Linked DNA regions of Nothobranchius furzeri. The protein of the gene in region 1 purifies or fractionates together with the protein of each later gene. This does not show direct contact. Links are inferred from orthologs where the notes say so. Each region holds a gene or a part of one and is shown in the gene's direction. Other genes may lie near its edges.

What was found.
Region 2: the proteins of pidd1 (region 1) and ripk1l purify together in Homo sapiens (affinity purification with western blotting; 3 studies listed by BioGRID and IntAct, with this or other methods). This does not show direct contact. The link is inferred for Nothobranchius furzeri from reciprocal best matches to the Homo sapiens genes PIDD1 and RIPK1.
Region 3: the proteins of pidd1 (region 1) and casp2 purify together in Homo sapiens (affinity purification with western blotting; 5 studies listed by BioGRID and IntAct, with this or other methods). This does not show direct contact. The link is inferred for Nothobranchius furzeri from reciprocal best matches to the Homo sapiens genes PIDD1 and CASP2.

Annotation. Positions count from the first base shown.
Region 1 is NC_091744.1:65,118,806-65,121,746, forward strand, and holds the end of pidd1 (p53-induced death domain-containing protein 1), read left to right. Parts: intron 1-1,885; coding exon 1,886-2,120; 3' UTR 2,121-2,377; downstream 2,378-2,941. UniProt on the Homo sapiens protein: Component of the DNA damage/stress response pathway that functions downstream of p53/TP53 and can either promote cell survival or apoptosis.
Region 2 is NC_091751.1:51,510,949-51,513,278, forward strand, and holds the end of ripk1l (receptor-interacting serine/threonine-protein kinase 1), read left to right. Parts: intron 1-962; coding exon 963-1,267; 3' UTR 1,268-1,719; downstream 1,720-2,330. UniProt on the Homo sapiens protein: Serine-threonine kinase which is a key regulator of TNF-mediated apoptosis, necroptosis and inflammatory pathways.
Region 3 is NC_091745.1:73,503,725-73,507,386, forward strand, and holds part of casp2 (caspase-2), read left to right. Parts: intron 1-335; coding exon 336-464; intron 465-547; coding exon 548-638; intron 639-1,593; coding exon 1,594-1,794; intron 1,795-3,662. UniProt on the Homo sapiens protein: Is a regulator of the cascade of caspases responsible for apoptosis execution. Might function by either activating some proteins required for cell death or inactivating proteins necessary for cell survival.

The DNA of each region.
Region 1 (2,941 bases):
GTAACTTGCAAAAAATAAAAAAAAATCTATGTAAAAGTTTCAAACCACAATTTTCAAAACACACATCTCAGTCTACAGTTACAAAACTCAAGTTTACATGTATAAAACATTTGGTCTCAACTCTAATTTGGTACAAGTTACTGTCACGATGCAGTGGAGATGGTGGTGGACCCATGTGTTGTGGAGCTGGACCAGGAAGCAGGAATGGCAGGTCAGGCAAAAAAAAAATGGATTTAATGAATAATGGCAGGTAGGATGATCCAAACGGGAGCAATGTAACACTGCAATGATCTGACAAAGGACAAGTCTAAAACAGGTATAAATACACAAGCATAATCAGGAACACATGGGTAGGTTAACAAGGGGCAGGTGAGTCCAATAAACAACTAATTAAGGGGAAACGAGACCAAGAGTCAGAGGGTTGGAGCAGATCCTTACAGTTACATGTAATATTGTCCCAATCCTAGCTCCATAATTATCTTGGGTATGCGGGCTGCAGGTTTGTAGCTGCAGCTTGTCCCAACACATCCTGCAGATGTTTGAACTGGACAGTTAGAAGGCTAATTTAGGAACTTTTTTGTGCAATCTTTTAAAAATCCTGGTAATTTCCTGGAGTGTCAGGAGAAGTGTTTTATCTAAGGTGTGTGTGTGTTTGGTCTAAATTCGTTGAAATAGAAGATACACAACAAATCTGTTAATCTCCAGGACGCACTTTCTGTTAAAAGGTTTTCGCATCTCATTTGAGCTTTAAAGTTGTATCTGATCTTTGTTTAAAGAAAATTTTTCATTCTGAAACATTTTTTTCTTTCAAAAATCCTTATTCAAAATTACAATATAATTGCAGTTTAAAACCTTTTTTAAAATCCTCTGTAACTGCAAAAAGCTTAAAGAGCAAGTCACTCCAAATCACCATTTTTTTTGCTGATAAACTATATAAATGAGTGTCCGATTGTGCTGTAGACAAATGTAGTCAATAATTCGGCACTTTAGTGCATCTTAGTTAAAATTTAATTATTCTGCCTAAAACTGTCAGAGATGCACTGTCGTCAGGCAAAAACTCAGCACTGCATTTGAATTTAAATCTGCCATCGCTATTGGCTAAGAGGTACACTATGATGTTAGATGGTATATTATGATGTCACAATGTTGTGAGTGTGTATTTGTTAGAGGCTCCGCCTTCTCGGTCTGCTAGGCAACAGCATTTGTTGCATTTTTCAAACAGGAAGTGGGAGTTGAGTAAGAATATGGCAGGGGGTGACTTGCTCTTTAAGTGTTTAATCAATGTAATTAGGTCTGTGACAATGGAGACAGCATCCTTTCTGCCTGAAGTCACTACAGTTGCTGCAGAAAAGTAGATACAATATTCATTTTCTGCATGACTGAATGGTGTCATCAGTGCACAAAGTGAAAACTTCAGTGGGACTGAAGTGAAATCCCTTGTCTGTTGCTTGAGGAAAAGAAAACACAGTGGAAGAAAAACAGGAGAGAATTTTGATTGTTTTAATGTGCACTGTCAGCCATCTCTGAGCCATCTGGGACACTGCAGGAGATTACACAGACTGTTGCTCATCTGGCCCTCCCCCCTTCTCCCAAGCTAAAATAAACCTCTCATCATGACACATTCTGCAGGTGGAGTAAAATATATAGTACAAAACCACATATTTATGCATTAGTATAAGGTTTATAGATAATATCAAGATGTATAATATTGAGTATAGATTTTTGATAGATGTTTGGCATTTCTTCCGAAATAACTGAGTCACCTGCATAGAATGATGCATGTTCATACCCACAAAAGGTTAATGTGGTGCATTTTACATTAGTCCCTTTTCCAGTCAGTCAGCTGCAAATAAAGTAACATTTCGTGTGTGTTTCTGCTCACCAGGGACAACCTGGGTGCCTTAGTGCTGGACATGCTGTTTCTCTGGGCTCGGGGACAGAGGAATGCAGGACCTGGGGCAGCATCAAGGCTCGTGGCTGCCATGATAGAAAGCGGACGGAGAGACCTGGCAGACGAGATTGAGGACATTGTGAATTTAGGAAGGAAAAAGTACTCCGATTCTCTGAAGAGAGTTGGCCTGGAAGCAGAGGGCTCCTCTCTTGAGGAGGTGCAGCAGTAGATGAGCCTCCACTGGGGCACAGGAGGCTGTTTGTTTACATCGACCCCCATCATTTCTCCTCTAGTGGGACACAGATGTGACAGCCAGTCACCCACCAGTCCTACTTTTATCTAAACAAGGGAAAGCAACATGCAGTAACTGCACAATGAACTATGACCTCGTCCTTTTTGGCACTTTTTGTATTATGTAAAGCAACTTAATCTAAGTTAATTCTGCCTGGAGAAAGGTTCTGCTAGTAAAAACATCCAATAGTGAAATTGACTGAAATGTAGTTTATTTAAATAAAGCATTTTTGGGGAAATTTTTGAAAAAAAAAATTGAAAAATTATATAATAAATGATAAATCAGAGCTGATTAAGCATTCACTCATCAAACCTAGTCTGATATATTTTTTTAGGTGATTTTAAACGTATAGGTTTTAATTTTCTTACAGGAAGGAACCTCAGACTTGATGTATAAATCCAGTTAATCGACTGATTCAGAGATTTGTGCTGTTTTATTTGTGCATGTTTACCTTTAATCCAATATTACACCTCTTGCAGTTTTTTTCTTCGCTTTTTACGTCCAAGGTCATTGTGTTTCGACGTGACGTCACGGTGACGCGTGTTTGGCCGTACTTCCACTACCCACCGCTAGGGGGCGTATTTGAAATCCATCCTCCGCTACTCCCGTTTGCATCCAGACCTCTCCCCCTCCCTTCCTCCCTTTCCTGCCTACCTCCCGGCTTGCATTCACTCCCACCTTCTCAGCGGGTTATCTACTGTCGCTCTTTCAGCCAAAGGTACAGAGTGTAACATCAGATTTCACCTCTCATTCACCCA
Region 2 (2,330 bases), on another chromosome or scaffold:
GGGGACATCTGTTTACTCTTTAAAAGAGGAATTCTTTCAAATAAAAGTAGCTTCAATAAGAATCACTCATAGCAGCCATCGTGGTAGGTTTGATTTACTTGTAATCCAACAATGTGATTAAGAGAACCAAGTGAAAATTGTAAAACTTAGATGTACTGTTTCATTATCAGAACCATGTTTTCACTATTATTTAACCTTAAGCCTGATTTATACTCCTCTGCCTGCGTCAGTACGGAGATGCCATTATGCGTTGGCGCAAGGGGTGTCCCAACGGGCTCGCAGAGGGTGGCCCTATCCCAGTACTCGCAGGTTCACACTTACACCCTTCAATTGCGATCCCAGCCAGGGGTACGACTGCATAGGCTGTCAGAGTGCGGAAGTAGATTTTGCGCCCTTGATTAGCACTTCACCCAAGTCTGCATACATGTGGACTTGGGTGAAGTGTATTACCCACAACGCATTGCTGCGGAACAACATAGCTCAAGTGCCTTTTCTGAAAATATGTGTTTTCAAATGAAAGTAGTTCATATGAAATTTTATTGCCCTGTGACTGAATGAGTGCTAAGTTATGCAGCAAACGTTTTATCCGTGGACGGAAATGATGAGAAACTTGGGTTTAGAGGTGCCAATTGCATGAAGACGTGGATGAGAAATAGGGACAAATTAGTTCCCGTTAAAAAGTCTCTGAAATACATTAAAACAATATATTGTGGCATGATACCGCCAAAAATTGCTACACTTGCTGTTGTCCTGGCGGGATATTGCTTTGCAACATTCCTCAGGTGACAGAGAAGTCTGATGAGAAAACATATCGATCAATGCATGTACACAACTCCACACGAGCTAACGAGGAGTTTAAATCAGGCTTCAGTTGGGTTTCATATACTTGAGAAAGTTGTAGGCAAGAGGGATCTGGGCTTCAAAACACAGATCCTCTTCAACAAATATCTTATGTTTTTCAGAAAATCACGCTGTAAATGAGGCACACTTGGAACTGGTGAGGGCCAACATTGGGAGCAAATGGAAAATCTGTGCACGACGTCTGGGACTGTCTAATGTAGAAATAGACACCATAGATCATGACTACCACCGTGATGGCCTTGCAGAGTATGTCCACCAGATGCTGGAATCATGGAAAATGAAGACGGGATCTATTGGCTGTACGGTTGGGAAGCTTTGTCGCGCTCTAGACGGGATCATCGAGGTAGATGTCATCTTGAAAATGCTGGAATTGTGCAGTTGCTCTTCTTCCTTTGAAGCTCAGTAATGGGCACATTTTCAGAATTCACTTCAAACATCTGAAGCTCAGTTCAACTGACTTAAAAAAAACTCATGTATTTTTTTTTATTAATCAGATCTAATTTCTTGGGTACTGTCGATAATAAGGGCCTCCCTGTAACAGTAAAAAGTATTGATTTATTTCTTATTGTGATTTTCAACAAGCTGAAACTGCATTTTTATTTGATTTATTGACAGTTTTTCCTACAGCCTACACTGATGAGCGATCAGACACCATCGATTTGTCATGAAATTTCAAATTTTGCACTTATAATAGTCACTGTTAAGGATCATGATATGTTTTAGGTCGAATAATTATTTTCTTACTAAAGTTTTTATATAATCAAGGTGTTTGTCCCTTCAATTTTCTTCCTGAAAAGAGTCATAATGGAAAAGTCGCTCCATGTATTATGAAGGTTAGTTCACAAATATAAACCTACAAGTGGACCCATTAAGATTTCTGCAGAAAAATGGGGCAAAAACATAAAAAATGTATTTTATATCAGGAATTTTAATATATGTGTGAACCCTGTGGAGACAATGCTTTTTGGTCCATCTTGTATTTCAGGCTTGTTGCACATTTTATATATTCATGAATGTTATCTGTAAATTAAATTGTTTATGTACTTTTTTTACCTGCCCAGGTTTAAATGTTCAGTTTAGGACTGTAAAAATTGCATGTTTATTTGATAAGTTGCTGTTACTGTACCATATTAAGCATTTTGAATCACTGTTTTATCCCTAAGTGCTTTAAAGCTGTTTTATGCTATGCTTCTGTCCTCTGAAGCTTTTAAATTCACACTTGGTTTAGGGTACTTGCTCGTATTGTTCTGTAGTATATTTGCTTATGGAATTCCAAGCAAGTTCTCCCTCTATGATTTTACATACCACTGGGATTGTGACATTTACAATAAATTGTTTACATATTTTTAAAGTTGTTTGTGTTTGTTCTTCGTATCCATTTTTGCACAAAGCTTGAGTTTAATATGATGCAAACTGGCTGCATCTAAAATAGAGAAATGTTTTAAAATGTGGTTAGACAGAATATGTTT
Region 3 (3,662 bases), on another chromosome or scaffold:
CTCCAACCTGACAGCCAAACAAAACAGCAGAAGTTTCGATTTTGCCGGCTTTGCCGCTGGCCGCTGCCGCGCATCACCTCCCGTGTGTCAGGTAATAAAAGCGACAGCGACAAATTTCGCGGTCGTTTGTCGCCTCCCGTGTGTCGAGCCCGTAAGTTGTGTATCTTGAACTTGAAGATGGTTTTATGGGCGTATATATTTTAGTACGGTTGGTGAATTGATGCAGCAAAATGTTGTTTGTTCTGCCTGGTTTACCTGCTTTGCTGCTCAAAGCAAAAACACCTTTAGCTAAGTCTGAGTGTGTTTCAGCAACACTTCTCTTTATTTGTGTGCAGGAAATGAGGGAGTGCATGGAGGCGTTCTGCAGGAAGCCAGAGCACCGGACTTTGAGCAGCTGTGTGGTGTGTCTGCTCTCCCACGGAGTGGAAGGAGCCGTGTATGGTACTGACGGGCAGCTTCTTCAGGTGAGTGTTGGTTTTTTCATCAATAAGTGTCTTTTAAGAGGGAATAAATGTGTTTTATGACATTATTACTTGGTCTCTTTCAGCTGGACTGGGTGTTTGAGGCCTTTGACAACGCACGCTGTCCGCTGCTTCAAAACAAACCAAAGATGTTTTTCATCCAGGCCTGCAGAGGAGGTAAAGATACCGATAATGTAAATGTGTGTTTGTAAACAGTTCAGGTCAGAGCAGGAATGAAGTTTAATCGTTAATCTTCTGCAGGGTGTCCGCGGGTCCTTAAAAAGTCTTAAATTAGCTTTTACAAATTTAAGGCCTTAAAAATCCTTAAAAATGACAAATAATCCTTAAATAGAGTTTCCAAAGGTCTTAAAACACCAAAGACCCAATAAACAAGATTCTGTTATTTCTGTAAAATTTTCATGAATTTCTAGTTGGTGTTCAGCATTTTTTGTGTATGATGTTAACATAAGTGGAACCGTGCACATTCAGTTGGTTGTGAAAGGGGGCTATTTTTAGATGAGCACATTAGCTGGTTGAGCTAGCGGGAGCTTGCGCCATGGGGAAGTGCAAGTTTAATGGTGACTGGATGGCTAATCCCACGTTCGCGACGTGGTTTGCACCGGTTCCAGGCAATAGCAGGAAATTATAGCTTGAATTTAATTTAAAAAATCTGTTAAATTTGGTCAAAGTGGCCGTAAAAAAGGTCTTAAAAAGTCTTAAATTTGGCTCCCTTAAACCTGCAGATACCCTGATTTCTTAACAGTTTATGGAGGAGCTTTAATAATCCCTATTTAGCATTTTATCAGCCCTCCATCAGCTGTTCAGCTCAAAAATGTCACATCTCTTTGTCCTGTTCTTCCTGATGATGCTCTGGACCAGAGGGTACACTGATCACTTCCTGTCGGACTAACAGGCCTAAAAGGCTGTTTTTATCTTGCAGGTTTTTACGTTGCATGTCTAATCTAATTCATTAAACTTCATCATAATGAACAGTACAGTGTAATTCTATAACTGTGAGCACATTTCAGGTAGATGTTTCAGACAGATCCAAAGGTTCGATTCTAATGAGACGAACTTCAGCTTTATGTCACATTTAAACGTGAGCGCTACGTTGGTCCCTTTTGTCCCTCAGAAGAGCTGGACTGTGGCGTAGAGCAGATAGACGGGCCGGGGAGGACCCTCTCACCAAGCTGCGAGCAGCGGGATGCTGGGAGGGAGGAAGCGGGGGATGCAGACTCCACTCAGATAGGGGACATGAGGAGACCCAGGATTAAGTTGCCCCAGAGGTCAGACATGATCTGTGGCTTCGCATCCCTCAAAGGTCAGAGAATTTGTAAGTTTTGAGTTTTTGTGTAATGAGAAATGAAAAGATATTGGTGTAATACAGGAAATCTGAAATGTACCTGTCCTGTAGTTTTACTTAATCAAGCAAAAGCTTTTTCTATTTTAAAAAATACAAAGTTTGATGCATTTAGAAAAAGCAGATGATTTAAGCTTCCACCTCCCTCCAAACAAAGCCAAGAAAAGCTGCCCCCCCCCGGTGGATTTGGCGTTGCTGCAGTGTTTTAGTAACGTGTTTAAAGCGATAGCAAAATCGCTCCTTTTGGAACACCTTTGATAGTATTTTATTAATTATTTCAAAGGAAATGTCCTTCTTAGTCACGTTTTCCTGTTTCCTGTATTAGTTTTGCAGGATTTGTTCAAAATGAAATGAAAGAAAAGGTGCTGGAAATTCCTGATGGCATTTTTTTCTGTTTACTACTCCACACTTGTGCATTTGGTCTTACACGTTTGGTCGTGTTTCCACTGCAGAAGTTACGGAAAACTTCTGGGAAGTCGAGAAGGTGACAGGATAAGTACACTGGCTCGTCCTCTCAGATGTTGTTTCTAAGTACAAAACGGTCCGTTTCAGGACTTTGCAAAGACATGAGCGTATGGCGACCGCTTCAGTTGTGAGTGACGTCACTGATCAGCGCCAACAGGCATCCACGGACATTAATAACATTACAAGTTTCATTCTGTCAAAGTCCGCCTTACTTTAATCTATCTGGGGGGGTGGGGGGGTGGAAGTGTGATGTAAAAAGTGGCGTTCTTTGACCAGAAGACGTGCTGGTTTTTACAGTGCTCTGTGAGATCACAAACGGTATAAATTAGAGCATTTAATGTTTACATCTGCTGATGTCATTTCCTACCTAAATACATCCAGTCAGCATGAGCTATACACAAGTCCCACCCAGCGACTCTACCAGACCTCTCTGAGTACATACTAGGGGTTGTCGACTAGTCGACCTCACTGCTCTGTAGCGACTTTTTATGTCTTTCATCGACTAGTCGCTGTCACGTGATAATGACCGACAAGATGCAGTCCTCGGAAAAGACAGCAGGTGACGAGCCCCTGCGCGTTAGGACGCGACGCGCTGTGCCAGCGCGTCGGTATCTGACGCCTGCGATAAAACGGACATTTAACCAAACTGTGACATTTACTCTCTTGCAATTTAACATTCCCCTCACCCCATCCTAACCTTAACCAGCTTGCGCATGCAGAGCTCTGATCGTTGATGCGCTCCAGACATCTGCGTCCTGAGCACGGCCACAGTAACATCAAATTAGGTGTCACCACCTCAAAAACAAATTAAACACGCGATCGTTCATGTCGGCTCATTTCCTTTTATGTTTTCTGTCTTTTATTTGTGCCTGATGCGTTTTGCTGCTGCGGAGTGGAGCGCATCACCTGTTTTGTCCTCCGGTGACGCACCTCACAGGTGCGGTCGGCGCGCACTCCGCTGTTCTTGCGGTCGGTAGATCTTTTAGAACTGCAGTTCAAAGGTAACTCATAAGGTGAATATATATGAACCCAGGTAGCAGTTTCTCTTTAGGATTGAGAGGAGATGCAGGAAGATAATAAACAGGCAGGACAGAAAAATAGTCAAATAAAAACAAGTTAGTTTTTGCACCTGCTGGTTGCAACAAACAGACACCATTGAAGGTAATCAGAAGTGAGGAACAGAAAATGAAATAATTATTTTAATGTTTAGAGCAGCAGGAACGCCGAGAGGCTGCAGGCGCATCAGTGAGTTTGCGGGAGAAGGCTGAAGCAAGATGCAGAAACTACCGTTGTTAAAAGAGATGTGTTTAACTTAGAAAATGTGGGCGCAATTTTAATTGTCAAAAACTCCAGCGAACCAACCCGCCTCAGGTGTA